Linked DNA regions of Arabidopsis thaliana. The protein of the gene in region 1 interacts with the protein of each later gene in a pairwise test. Each region holds a gene or a part of one and is shown on either strand. Other genes may lie near its edges.

What was found.
Region 2: the proteins of ARF13 (region 1) and ATAUX2-11 interact in a two-hybrid assay, tested with the Arabidopsis thaliana proteins (one large-scale study listed by BioGRID).

Annotation. Positions count from the first base shown.
Region 1 is NC_003070.9:12,442,332-12,449,922, forward strand, and holds ARF13 (AUXIN RESPONSE FACTOR 13), read right to left. Parts: upstream 4,434-7,591; coding exon 4,391-4,433; intron 4,297-4,390; coding exon 4,178-4,296; intron 4,106-4,177; coding exon 4,010-4,105; intron 3,898-4,009; coding exon 3,841-3,897; intron 3,731-3,840; coding exon 3,587-3,730; intron 3,506-3,586; coding exon 3,421-3,505; intron 3,353-3,420; coding exon 3,256-3,352; intron 3,182-3,255; coding exon 3,017-3,181; intron 2,908-3,016; coding exon of another isoform or gene 2,830-2,907; coding exon 2,794-2,829; intron 2,714-2,793; coding exon 2,641-2,713; intron 2,550-2,640; coding exon 2,411-2,549; intron 2,320-2,410; coding exon 2,063-2,319; coding exon of another isoform or gene 1,934-2,062; exon of another isoform or gene 1,878-1,933; intron 1,660-1,877; coding exon 1,472-1,659; intron 1,389-1,471; coding exon 1,247-1,388; downstream 1-1,246. Other genes in the region: AT1G34160 (Tetratricopeptide repeat (TPR)-like superfamily protein), read left to right, coding at 1-497, 585-894; NAC016 (NAC domain containing protein 16), read left to right, coding at 6,395-6,617, 6,878-7,155, 7,232-7,531. UniProt on the Arabidopsis thaliana protein: Auxin response factors (ARFs) are transcriptional factors that bind specifically to the DNA sequence 5'-TGTCTC-3' found in the auxin-responsive promoter elements (AuxREs). Could act as transcriptional activator or repressor.
Region 2 is NC_003076.8:17,547,219-17,553,292, reverse strand, and holds ATAUX2-11 (AUX/IAA transcriptional regulator family protein), read right to left. Parts: upstream 3,115-6,074; 5' UTR 2,829-3,114; coding exon 2,650-2,828; intron 2,558-2,649; coding exon 2,255-2,557; intron 2,166-2,254; coding exon 2,087-2,165; 3' UTR 1,578-2,086; downstream 1-1,577. Other genes in the region: AT5G43710 (Glycosyl hydrolase family 47 protein), read left to right, coding at 1-66, 156-226, 314-518, 754-1,041; AT5G43695 (uncharacterized protein), read right to left, coding at 4,742-4,923, 5,005-5,044; AT5G43690 (P-loop containing nucleoside triphosphate hydrolases superfamily protein), read right to left, coding at 6,025-6,074. UniProt on the Arabidopsis thaliana protein: Aux/IAA proteins are short-lived transcriptional factors that function as repressors of early auxin response genes at low auxin concentrations.

The DNA.
Region 1 (7,591 bases):
GCTTTAACTGCGTGTAGACATGCGGGGTTAGTGGAGTATGGTTTGTCTGTATTCAATAATATGGCTTGTAAGGGCGTTGAGCGTAACATGAAGCACTATGGTTGTGTGGTTGATCTGTTAAGCCGTGCAGGAAGGTTGAGAGAAGCTCACGATATCATATGTTCAATGTCGATGATTCCGGATCCTGTTTTGTGGCAGAGCCTTCTTGGAGCTTCGGAGATTTATAGTGATGTTGAAATGGCTGAGATTGCTTCTAGGGAAATAAAGGAAATGGGAGTTAACAATGATGGTGATTTTGTGTTGCTATCGAATGTTTATGCTGCGCAGGGACGGTGGAAAGATGTAGGACGAGTGAGAGATGATATGGAAAGCAAACAAGTGAAGAAAATTCCAGGTCTTAGCTACATAGAAGCCAAAGGAACGATTCATGAATTCTACAACAGTGACAAGAGCCATGAACAGTGGAGAGAGATTTATGAGAAGATCGATGAGATCAGGTACAGAACAAGTTCTAAGAGCTGAGATTGGTGAATTTTAATGCTTTTGATTTACTGCTTTCTTGTTATTTTGGTTGATGAGGATAGGTTCAAGATAAGAGAGGATGGTTACGTGGCGCAGACAGGACTTGTGTTGCACGACATAGGAGAGGAAGAGAAAGAGAACGCTTTGTGCTATCACAGCGAGAAATTGGCGGTGGCCTACGGACTGATGATGATGGATGGTGCGGACGAGGAGAGTCCGGTGAGAGTTATAAACAACCTGAGAATTTGTGGGGACTGTCACGTTGTTTTCAAACATATTTCTAAGATTTATAAGAGAGAGATCATTGTTAGGGATCGAGTTCGGTTTCATAGGTTCAAAGATGGTTCTTGCTCTTGCAGAGATTTTTGGTAACGTTACAAAATTAAGAGGGTGGCAATTTTAAAATGTATTTCAAAGATTTCTCTTTTTTTAAGTACACTACAATAGTTAGAGTAAGATGTATATACTCAAATCATTAGTAGTAGCAACGATAAGCAGATAATACGACGATAACAAGGACAATTTTTCATTTAGAAACGATGAAGACATAAATATTACAGACTCAAACAACATCACTGTCGACAAAAACAACATAAAAACATGGGTTCATTCTCTTACCCTTTACTACATCACGGAACAAAAAACTGTTTTTTTTTTTGCTTACGAAATTTTAAAACAAAACCCTCTCTTCCAATTTTCAGCTCTCTTATCTTTATAAGAAAGGTTAGTTATCTGTGACGTTTGGTGGTACGTCTGAAGATGTTAAAGCTTTTGATTCAGGTTGAAAGAATTTGTTCTTCAACTTCATTTTCTTTATCTCCTCTTTTGAGCATATGAATATTCTTTTCGCCATATTGCAGAACTCACTGGATGCACACAATTTTCAAAATGACATTTTCTCAATATTTTAACATGGGTTTCAATATATAGAAAGAGAAAGAAAACATACGGCCATGGATCATCCCCGACAAGCATCTCAGCTCCTTCATTGTTTGTAAAAACTATTTCCCATTGATTGCGAGTTCGTAACTCGTCTTTGAGATCAAAGAGTTCTTCCAGTTTTTGTATCAGCTGATTGTATCCATGCATAGCAGTTAAATCCACAGCTCTACTTATGGCTACACCTTGCATATGAACCTGTTAGAACATACCACATCAAAATCATGTGAAAGCTTTACGAAATTTTCTTATCAAATATATATTTGATATCTAAAAATACTAAGTTACCTAATATGTATGTTTCTTATCAAAATTTCTTAAAATATATTTTTTTCGGCGAATGCTTGCTTGAATGCACTAGTTTCACATTTTAAAAAAAAAGTCATATGTTACAGATATAATGATTTTATGCTTACTTTAATACGACTTCTAGTAAAATTGAATTCCGTGCTTTGGACCTCTTTTGGTGATCTCAGAGGTTGGGTTTGGTCAAACTTTTTATCTTGAGGCAACTAGTGGTTGCTTTTTGATTTTTGAGTTTTGAAATTTCTGATTTTTTGCATGATTCAATTGGACAGATGGAATCTTTGCTCTTTGATACTTTGGTCAGATCAACTCCAAACAAGAGGCAACTAGTGGTTGCTTCAGTTGTTATATCTTCTTTCCTTGGTTGAATCATTTGGTCGCTGTTATAGTTTTCATTAGGTATGGCTAGGAGTGAGTGATTCAGTAGCAAACCAGAAAGAAACTTTGAATCTTCAATTGCATTGGGATAACTAAACTCAGGAACACTTATAGGAGAATTCATGCTCCGTTGTCCAATTTCTTGGCATGTCCAAAGATTCGATAATGTTGCACCTATATATGAAAATATCTAGAATGAGAAAGATATTTTCATGAGGAAGCATAAACTTATCAAACCAATGATTATAAGCATGTTTCCTTTTACCAATTTCATTCAATTGAAGCCAATGTTTTTTCTTTTTCAAACTTGATTGAGAGATATCTGACGAAGGAATTAGATGCTCGATGTCCCAAGGTGAAACCTGATTAGGTCTTAGAAATGGTGAAAGCTCGTCCCATTGCACCTACAAAAACATAGTTGATTAGTCATATGTTATTTATTACACTCAAAAATGTATTTTGAAAGATGTCATGAAAGTATGAAGATTATATTACTTTTAGGCTTCGCCATTCTGAATCCTTCCAATGAGGAGACATGTCATTTACACCAATAATCGTCCCATCGTATCTTAGTAAATAAAACAAAATGTGTTATGCAAATAACAAATTTTGGAAATAGAGAAAAAAAGTTTTGATTAAATTTTTTACCTTTTTTCAGAAAAATCCTTACCCTCAAACTGCATCCTAAATCTCGAACCAACAATGTAATTATTGTTCATTGCATCAACAAATTTGTCATAGCTTATAACAAATTGACTTGAACTAATATTATATGAAAAAACAAAATGTAAACATACATTTGGTTGAAGAAGCTAATATCATGATATATTGGCAGACTGTAAAATGTAAATTAAGTACTATTCTGAATCACCTTGGCTTATAAACCACATTGAACATGCATTTGGTTTTAAAAGCATTCACTACTGAAGCTATTACTCCATGTTGCATACAATTTGCTGATATTACTGATGAAGGTATGTGGCCTTGTTGATGCTTTGCTCGCCTAATACCAAATCGTAACTCCCCATTCTCTCCTCTGAAAAAACAAGAAAATAGTTTAAATTCTAATATCCAAAAAAAGAGAAGAGATGTAAAAAGACAAAAACATACCTAAGGAGTACAAATATATCCCCAACAATCAATCTTTTTGTTGTTGCAAATACGCTCCAGCCGCCGCCGCTAGTAAACATATGTCTCTGCGGTGTACCTACATGCAAAAAGAAGATCCATAGTTACTAATTACAATATTATCGGGTGAAGAAAAATATTAAATACCTCTAAAGACATGTTTGAAACTCCATTCTTGACCATAGAGATCCTTTGCAACAAGATTTTGTGTGGATATTGGTTGGGACATATCCTAGAGAAACAAATCGAATAGAAAATGTAATACTGAAACTCAAATTCGAGTTTATTCAATAGATAAACTAAGCAGAATTACCAGCGGAGGAAAACACTCAATGGCATATTGTTTGGGAATAATTAATCCACCACTTAAACTGACGTCAGACGCCGTTAAAATTTTACTAAAAAAATAAACTATTGGTCTTCGAGTATCCATAGTAGTATTATGGGTCATAACTTCCTAAAGATTTACAATTTAAAAAAATTAGTTAAGTGAAAATTGAAGAAAATTTGAAACAATTGAGAAACATTAGAATTAATTTTGAAGTTAGCATTGTTGCGGTCACTCACTGTTGTATCAGGCATTAACGAAATCTGAGCATAGACTTCATCTGTATTTTTGTCTACCTATAATAAACATAAAGCAAGCAACAAAATTAGATCTTTCTACAGTGAAATAAAGCATGCAAAATAATAAATTGTAACTTATGTGTTAACTCTTGAACATTTAAAGACATACCTTACGATCAATAGCCACAACACGACATCGAAGCTTAGATGGAAGATCAAAAATTGGCCTGATATGATCCAATTCATCTCTTGTAGAATTCTCAATCTGAAAAGTGCCATCAAAATGTTTCAAAAACCAAATCGAGAAGCAAAACAAAAGAAATATATATAGACTCACGAGCTCGATGTGCCCTTGAGGAAAGTAATAAACTTTTTCTCCAGGTTTCGGAAGAACACACAAAGGTCCAGCACATATGTTCCATAATTTCTCATACATATAAGTCTTGGTTATATCAACTAGTAAAACGAAACAAAATATATGGTTGTTTCATATTTAATATATAAAATAAGTTCAGACAAAATATATATAAAAAAAAATCTTTACTTATGCCTGATAATTCAGGCTGTGCATTCATTTCTCCATTATTTTCCATGAGCTCTTATTGCAAAGATCGATATTCTGTGAATCATAAAGCAAGAAAATCATCAAAATCTTTTTTTTTGTTAAGAGTACACTTATTGACAGGATAAAAGATAAAAAGTAATTTTTGTAATAGAAAATTATATCTTTCCATCACAAATGAGAAGAAATTACTACAAACTATTAAACTATTTTAAAAATCGTATATGATTTGAGTGAAAAAATTTAAATTAGGGATTAAAATACCAGGCAGACTATTTTTCTCTAGATCCGGCTACCAATCACAGAGTAATTTTTTAATTTGATGTGTAGTTGATGTATACAATAAGCATGTATTTATAGAGAATTAAGACCTTATTAAGTCACCAAAAGATATACATAATAAAGCTACCATATTACACGCAAGAAATTAATGTATTTTGGGAAATTAAGAACCTACTAAAACTCCACGGTCAAAGAAGCCCAACAGTTGTTTAATGAGTTTTACAAAAAGTAATTAGGGTTATAGGTTATTATTAATTTTGACTCGATTAGATGGAAAGTGGAAACCTCGTAAATATTGATTCTATTGAATTAATATATATCTATAACTATATATATTCTATCTTTGTTCATGCTACTATCTTTTTGGCTTAATCTGATAATTTCTCTATTGTTTTAATTAGTTCTTAGTGTCCAGAATCTTTTGATTTCGACGATGTTGTTTATTTCTCTTTTTGTTTTCCATTGTTTGTAATTAAGATTAATTTTTTTTTAGCGTGTTTGCTTGGATGCTTATTACTAGTTGTCGAATAACTCCTCATTTTGGGATGAATCCTTCTCTAATGTTGTTTACCAGTGATCAGAATCCCTCACAAAAGCTCTCTGGAGAATTGAACGAGTTCTTCATGGATTTTTCGAGAATTTTCCACATGACAAGAGGTGAAAATTAAAACATCTTCTACAACTGCATAGAGAACGTTGATTCACATGTCGATTTTTCTTTTTTCTCATCCTTGATCTTATAGATTTGTGAGTCTTCATAACTAAATAAATCCATATGTTTTTGCCACATTTAGGTTTAGATGTCTTGTAATTTTTGTCCTTTTTTGTTTGTCTCCTAGTTTTTGTTTAGAATAAGAATAAAGTTCTATATGCATAGGTTGTTCATTCCATTAATCGAATAGATCGTTTGCCGATATTCGGTCCTATATAGCTATCTCGTCTTCAAAGCTTACTCTTCCCGTCTTTGGATTATTCACTCTCTTCATGGGAGCTGCAAGAATTGCACTCTATTATGGGATTTTTTAATTTTTTCGGTTGGAAAATATATTAACAATTGTAAAAAAAAAAAAAAAAATCTTATAATGAAAAATATGTTACTTTCTACAATAATATTAAGACTTTCATAACTTCTAAGCACTATTTATATACTTTCAATACCTTTATCAAATACTAACTAATATATCAAATATTATTAAGTTATTATGAATAATGTAATAGTAAATTATGTTATCTTACAAAATGTAATCAGTCACATAAAATTTATTGAAGTGAATTGATGCTACAAATTTATATTGTACAAGTTTTTACTCTACAAAATTTATTTTATTTGATTTTATACGATTATTTTATTGTAAGTTTGAAAAATAGTAGTGAGTGGTGGATTCAACATTTAGTTCCTTTGTAACAACAACAAATTAACGAATATTAAAATTTATCAGTTTGGCCCCTTTGGGCGTGTAATTCCAAAAGCCCAGTAAGATTCTCGGAAACTTCGTTAGTCAGAAAAAAGCTGACACATATAATCACAAACAAAATCATTTTTTTGACTCTATCCAAAATCTATCTACCGCCGATCAAAAAACCCTAGAATTTCTTCCACTGTTATGTAAGTTTGATCTTGTTGTCTCCACTAAGAGGCGAAGAGAGAAAGAGGGTTTTAGGTTGTGTGTTCTGTTTCAAAGGGTTTACTTCTCGTTGACCCCGATCGAGATGGTTGATTCTTCTCGTGATTCGTGTTTCAAAGCTGGTAAGTTTAGTGCTCCAGGTTTTCGATTTCACCCTACTGATGAAGAGCTTGTGGTTTATTATCTTAAGAGGAAGATCTGTTGTAAAAAACTTCGAGTCAATGCCATTGGTGTCGTTGATGTTTACAAAGTCGATCCTTCTGAATTGCCTGGTAATTTTCAACACCTTCTTATCGATTTTGATTCATGTTTTCTCTACGTATCGTGATCAATTAGTTTAGGTTATTAATGATGTAGTTGAGTATATGACAAGGAAAAGTTTTGGTTGTTGATGATTTGTTGAGTATATGACAAGGAAACGTCTTTATTCACTATTTAATTCGTATCGATCCTCATTTATGCTCATATGATTTCATTTTCACAATGTTTAGGTTTCCAATTTGTTTATTTGTTATGCAAGTATCAAATTTATGTTGGAATTGGTTTTCTAACACGGTGAATGTAACAGGTCTATCGATGTTGAAGACGGGAGATAGACAGTGGTTCTTTTTCACTCCAAGGAATAGGAAGTATCCTAACGCAGCTAGGTCAAGTAGAGGTACTGCAACTGGTTATTGGAAGGCGACAGGAAAGGATCGAGTCATTGAGTACAATTCAAGATCTGTTGGACTCAAGAAGACTCTTGTTTTCTATAGAGGTCGTGCTCCTAATGGTGAGAGAACTGACTGGGTGATGCATGAGTACACTATGGATGAAGAAGAGCTAGGGAGATGTAAGAACGCTAAGGTTAGTATTATAGCCAAAACTCATCTGTTTCTCTTTTTGATTTATTTGTAGTTTAACTAATCTGTCTTACCTTCAGGAGTATTATGCTCTTTATAAGCTTTATAAGAAGAGTGGGGCTGGTCCTAAGAATGGTGAACAGTATGGTGCTCCGTTCCAAGAAGAAGAATGGGTTGATAGTGATAGTGAAGATGCAGATAGTGTCGCTGTACCGGATTATCCCGTGGTCCGTTATGAGAATGGTCCTTGTGTGGATGATACTAAATTTTGCAATCCTGTCAAACTTCAGTTAGAGGATATTGAGAAGCTTCTCAATGAAATCCCAGATGCACCCGGGGTTAACCAAAGACAGTTTGATGAGTTTGTTGGTGTTCCACAGGTTAGTTTCTTCTCTAATAACATATTGGCTTATGCTTTCTTTCTTTTTTGGGTCCTTTGG
Region 2 (6,074 bases), on another chromosome or scaffold:
CACATCACAGATGTAGAACTGCATAAACAAGAAGATCACATGGAGAGCTTCTTCCTCGCAGAAACGGTAAAATACATGAAAAGCTCTGTTTCTCAATATGCATTTACTTGCTTACCTTAAAGCCTTGACTTGTTTTTGTTTCAAAAATATTTCAGGTGAAGTACTTATGGCTACTCTTTGACTTAGCTGTTGACTCGGATAACCTCGTAGACAATGGCCCTTACAAGTATAAATATCTCCTCCACATTAACCTCTTGATTTTCACAAACACCACAACAATTCACTAATCTTGATAATTTTACTTAATCTTCAGGTACATCTTCAGTACTGAGGGTCATCTCTTACCAATAACACCACAAATATCTCTAGCTCGGGAACATTGCTCTTACTTTGGTGGATACTGTCCAAGCAATTCCACAAAACTAGAACAAGAAGTCCTTGGAGAAGACAGTAGTAACGATGATCACAGTAACGATTATCCTTACCACGAATCTTTTCCAGTTACCGGTTTGATAAAGGTCAGTACCAGAAATAAAAATGTTTCTTTCTTTCTTTCGGATTCCTTACCACGAATCTTTTCCAGTTACCGGTTTGATAAAGGTCAGTACCAGAAATAAAAATGTTTCTTTCTTTCTTTCGGATTCCTTACCACGAATCTTTTCCAGTTACCGGTTTGATAAAGGCCAGTACCAGAAATAAAAATATTTCTTTCTTTCATCAAAGTCAGTTTCTTTTGTTTTGGGGTTTTTGTAGGGTTTATGTCCAGGACTAACACATGCTCAGAAATATGGTTTTTCGTATGTTCTACCGGAGAAGACAGATCGTGAAGATGTTAATCAACCTAAACCGGTAGTTACAAGCAGTTCAATTGTGTTAATCTCGGATCAAACAGTGGAGAAGAGACCACAGGAAGAAGAAGGATTTACTTCTCAGTCTGAACCAATAATGACAATCTCTGGTGGTAGTAGCAACGACCAAACAGGTCAAGAGCTAACCTTGTTAGAGTCAGAAACTGATGATCAAAGATCATACTCTTCTTAAATCTCTCATTTATATATATGTTCCACAGAAGAAGATTACAAAAACTTTTGTTAGAAATATAGATTCAGTTTTCCAATCTCATCAAGAATCTTGAATCCTTCTTTTGTTGATCGATTGTTGTCTCATCATAATCATCATCATCATCATCGAGACAACTAGGTTTAAGTATTTGGTAAAATTCTTGACTTAATAATCATCTTGCATCAAGAACATTAGGTATGAATGTAAAAATTGTTGGTGCACAAAGGAAAAACCTAAATTCAATGAACCTATCTATACCATTTTAAAATATTACTCTAGTTCCAAGGTTCATAGATTATTATAAGTGATAGTGGAGACAAATTAGCACAGTTGGGTAGATTTACTTGTTTAAGGTATGGGGGACCAAAGTCACAGTTGGTAACAACAAAAGATAATATAAACATTTCCAAAGCCCCAAAAATATTCTCACTGCTCGATTAGATTTCTTATTTCTTTAATCTTGGTGACTAAACATGTATAATCTAAGTTTAAAGAAACTAGAATCCAATGATATATGTTTAGAAGCTGGGATTATTATTTTTACCATAAAGCAGCTTTGGTTTAATGATTTGTCTTCGTTGTGTTCATCTACAAGTTAGGTTTAATGTTCTGTGTTACAGTTTTGTAAAGACAGATCTTAATTTGAAGAGAAACAGAACAGAAAAATGGGTAATTACATCAAAAACATCAAAGTTGTTCGATAAGAACATTATAAAAAGTGAAAAACACAAAGATAATCTTCAGATTAGATCTTTCTAATACCACAAAACCTTTCTCTTTAATGGAGACAGAGTTACAGCTAAAGTTTAGATTTAGATCTTTCTCACACTTTTATGCTTAAGACCATTTTAAGCATCTCTCTTTTTACCGATGAGGTAAACATTCACAAAGTATGATTGTATGAAACATCTCTCCCCAAGAACCCGAGCAGTTTCAGAGCTATATTTACTCTGTTTCAAGAAACAGAACAAAAAACTCTGTTTTTGAATCTTTCTCTTTGATCTTTATCTCTCAATTAGGTTTGTTAAAGACCACCACAACCTAAACCTTTAACTTCAGATCCTTTCATGATCCTTAGCCTCTTACAAGACGAAACAAACATCCTGCAATAACAACAAAACACCATAAATACATAAACAAGATTGTGTCATAAGTTAACTAATTTGAGAGATAAATGAAAATTTGTACTTACTCCCAAGGAACATCACCAACAAGCATCCAATCACCATCTTTGTCTTCATAAGTAGGTACAAAGTCTGAGCCTTTATATCCTTCTCTCTCAAAATATTCTCCCACAGAGAATTTAAACATGTTTTCAAGTGATTTCATCAACTCTGGATATTGTTTATACATCGTTAGATCTATCTTCCTTAGATATGGAGCACCATCCATACTTACTTTCACATAGTTTCCTTGACCTTCAGATTCACTCTTCTTTGTCTGAACATTGTTCTTTCTGTAAGATCTAACTGGTGGCCATCCAACAATCTGAGCCCTATAAAACAAGAAATAGCATAGATTAGATTAGATCAGATTCACAACTCAACACACATTTTCAGAGAAGTTGTATTTGATTCAAACACTTACTTTGGAGGAGAAGCGGTTTCAGTTTTTCCAGTGGATTCAATCTCTTTCTCAGTAGCTTCAGGTAAAACTCTTTTGTTGCTTTTTCCACAAGAAACAGTTTCTTCTGTCCCTGGTAATCCCAATCTCAGCTCTGTTGCCTTTAGGTTAACAAGCTCATCATAAACATCAACTTTTTCCATTTCTTCTTCAAAGAAAGAACCTCTTTGTTTTTGTGTGTTTTGTGTTCTTGTGGTTGTCTAGAGAGAGAGAAAGACTTGTTGATGAGATAAGAGGCTTTGTGAAGAAGATTGTTTTATAGGAATTGAAAAGTCACTTTTTTGGTAATTTAGAAAAAATGGGATTAACTTGATTTAAGGACAAAGGCAAAAGCTAAAGCTGTCGGGTAGTAAACAGTAGCAGCAACTTTGAGGCAAAGTGTGTCCCATCATTTTGGGGACATTTGTGGGACACTTTCATCTTCAACACAAAGAAAGATACTTTCTTTGATTTTAGAGGACGGTCTAGATTCATTTCTCTGTAGCCCTAATTCAAGGAAGTGGGGTAGAGTATGGTACACTCATGTGCAGAATATAAAAAACCTTTCTCTTTTGTTCAAGCATTGAGTTATTGTAGGGTAAGCATTACATGTACTGTGGTCTGCCATATGCATTTGTCACCTCTCTCTCTCTCTCTTAAAGCCAAGAACTTACTCTTTCATCTATTTGTGGTTCATGTGATATCAGGATTAGATCATCCTAGTCAATTGAGTTGAAACTCTAGCTGTCTAAAGTCAAACATATTCATAGTCTTTTTTTCTGTGTTTGGAGGATAAGATTTTGAGTTTCATTGGGTCTGATTGGTAGCTTCATGTGTGTCCAACTAGTATTTGAGTTGGGACTTTCGAGAGTATTAGTAAAGAAAAACAAATAGTATTTGAGTTAAAATTATACTATTTGTTTTTCTTTACTAGTTTTCATGAAAGTCCCAACTTAATTTGTCTCTCTGTCTCTATGAAACTTCTAATGATCTTTATATATATGAATCCAGGAACAAACTGACAAGAAATCTTGCCAAAAGGTTTTGTCTTTAGACAGTTCATTATCTATGGGGTCTTATCGTTTTGGGTTTTGATTTCTCTCTGACTTTGTTTTCATGTTACTACAGCAAGGCAGTTTATGTACTTGTCATGCTTTAGTGAACCAATGTAAACCAAACCTAACCTAATCTCTTTGGAGGACCAAATTTGAAAACCTATGTTCAAGACTATTTTTTTATCCTAAGTTTGTTTAGTCTCGATTTCAAATTTTTTTTTTCTGTAGAAAAAGTTTTGAATCGTTACACATTAAGGGGTATTATTCAGTCATGGATTTCAATAGAATCAAATCCAACACTAATCCACTGTGATTGATGATTCTAAATGGTGCTTAAATATTTGTGATTAATTTATCATTAGTATTATGTTATTTTTGGCACATGACCTCCTAATAGTCTAAATCCTTCTTCTTGAGTATGATTTATGGATTACGACATTTGGGAAGTGAACATTTAGGAGATTGTTGGTTTTATCCGAATTGGTCTCAAAAAGGAGAATTTTAAAGGTAGTGAGTTTGGTATTTATTGTTACACGGTAGACGACAAGACTTTGGGTTCGATTTGAAATGTGAAAAGTTGGTTTCATTGCATGGTTGGCGTTAGAGATTTAAGTTCATGACTAGCTTATTTAGCTAGAAATCAAATACTGAAAATGAGACGTATCTAACAACAAACCGGTTCATGGCATTCTCTCCGGTTCCGGTTCTTTTGGACTCTATGTTGGATTGATCCACCGTTGGATCCAATAAATGATATAAAACAGCTACACACATGATCATACATATACAGCTTCATAAGTTATAGTTGGTGGGCAATATATATGCTTTTATATCATCCTAGTGATTATTCTAATGGTGGCTGGTTTGATGAAAAATTAGGCATCACCTCTTCCATGTTGAATTTGTTCTTAACTATCTTTTTTGAATTTTTTTACATAATGTTCAATATTTTTTGTATGGACTATGCAACAAAGTTTTATTATTAGTGAAAACATATCTTATTCAAAAAAGAAAACGGAAAATTAACATAGACATAAACAAGGAGTAATTCTGTTGTTAGGAATACATTTCATATGACATCCATCCATGCAGTCATCATCCAGTAATTTCACTACCTGCGGCGAACCTTCATGATGCAACTGAGGAATTTCTTCAAGTAATAACCTTTTCGCCTCAACATTTCGAACAGTAACGATACTCATCACTACAAAATCAGAAACTATAAATAACAAATTTTGTATATAGATTTTTGTTATTTGCTTCACACGTGAAATATAAATTTTACCTGATGTAACAATTAGGCAGATAAGGAAAGCAAACTTCATTGGTATTTTTTTACTTTACAATATATAGCGGAAGTTGTTACACAAAACTCGGGGTACTCCCCAATACGTAGAAGTACAACTATTTCTAGATACAATAGTTATATAAAGGGATCTACTGTAAATTACTAATTATTTTGTTTTTGTTACCAGCCAAATAAATACTTATCAAATTACAAGGAAAAAGTCCAGTTATTGACTAAGTAAAATTATATGAATTTATTACAAAATTTTGTAAATATACATGAGACTAGTATAACTGATATTCTACAAAAAGTCGGTAACAAACTAACAATATAAGACCAATTCTAGAGTGCAAACTAGAAAACAAACAGTTTAAGAGTTACAAGAGATAGATCATATAGTTTTGAAATATGGAAGCAAATAACAATCATCAATCCATATTCTATATTGTAGTTTTTATTTGAATTGTGGCAAGACTTTGGGTTCGATTTGAAATGAAAAACTTTGGTTTCATTGCATAATGTTTAACCTGTATATATATAATAGGAGAGTCCTCTCTCCATTTAGGGTGTCCATCTAAGCATCCATATAAGCAACACTATTTATTTTATGTTAAAATAAATTTAAACATTCATTTAGTGCATATTTTTGTTACTTATAATCATAAAAAAATGAATAAACAAAAAACGAATTATGTAAAATAAATGAGCTGTTAAAATAATAAAGTTATACTATAACTTTTTTGTTAGTAGTAATAATCTATTATACCACACATTTTATTGTGCCTTTACGGTTAGGTGTATCGGTATTTACTCGGGCAATCATCATATCTTGAAATAGTTGTATTATGAATATACATGGAGTTGTGTCAAATTCACACTTTTGATTTTTGGGCCAATCACTATGCATTATTTTATTGAAAGACAGTCAATACTCATAAATCAAAGGAACATAAGAAACAGAAGGTAGTTTTATTATAATGCATATGTGAAAAGCTACAAACCACAAAGAACACGAATCTAGAACTTCAAGTCCGAACCTTTTAATTTCTCCTCGATGATCATGTCGA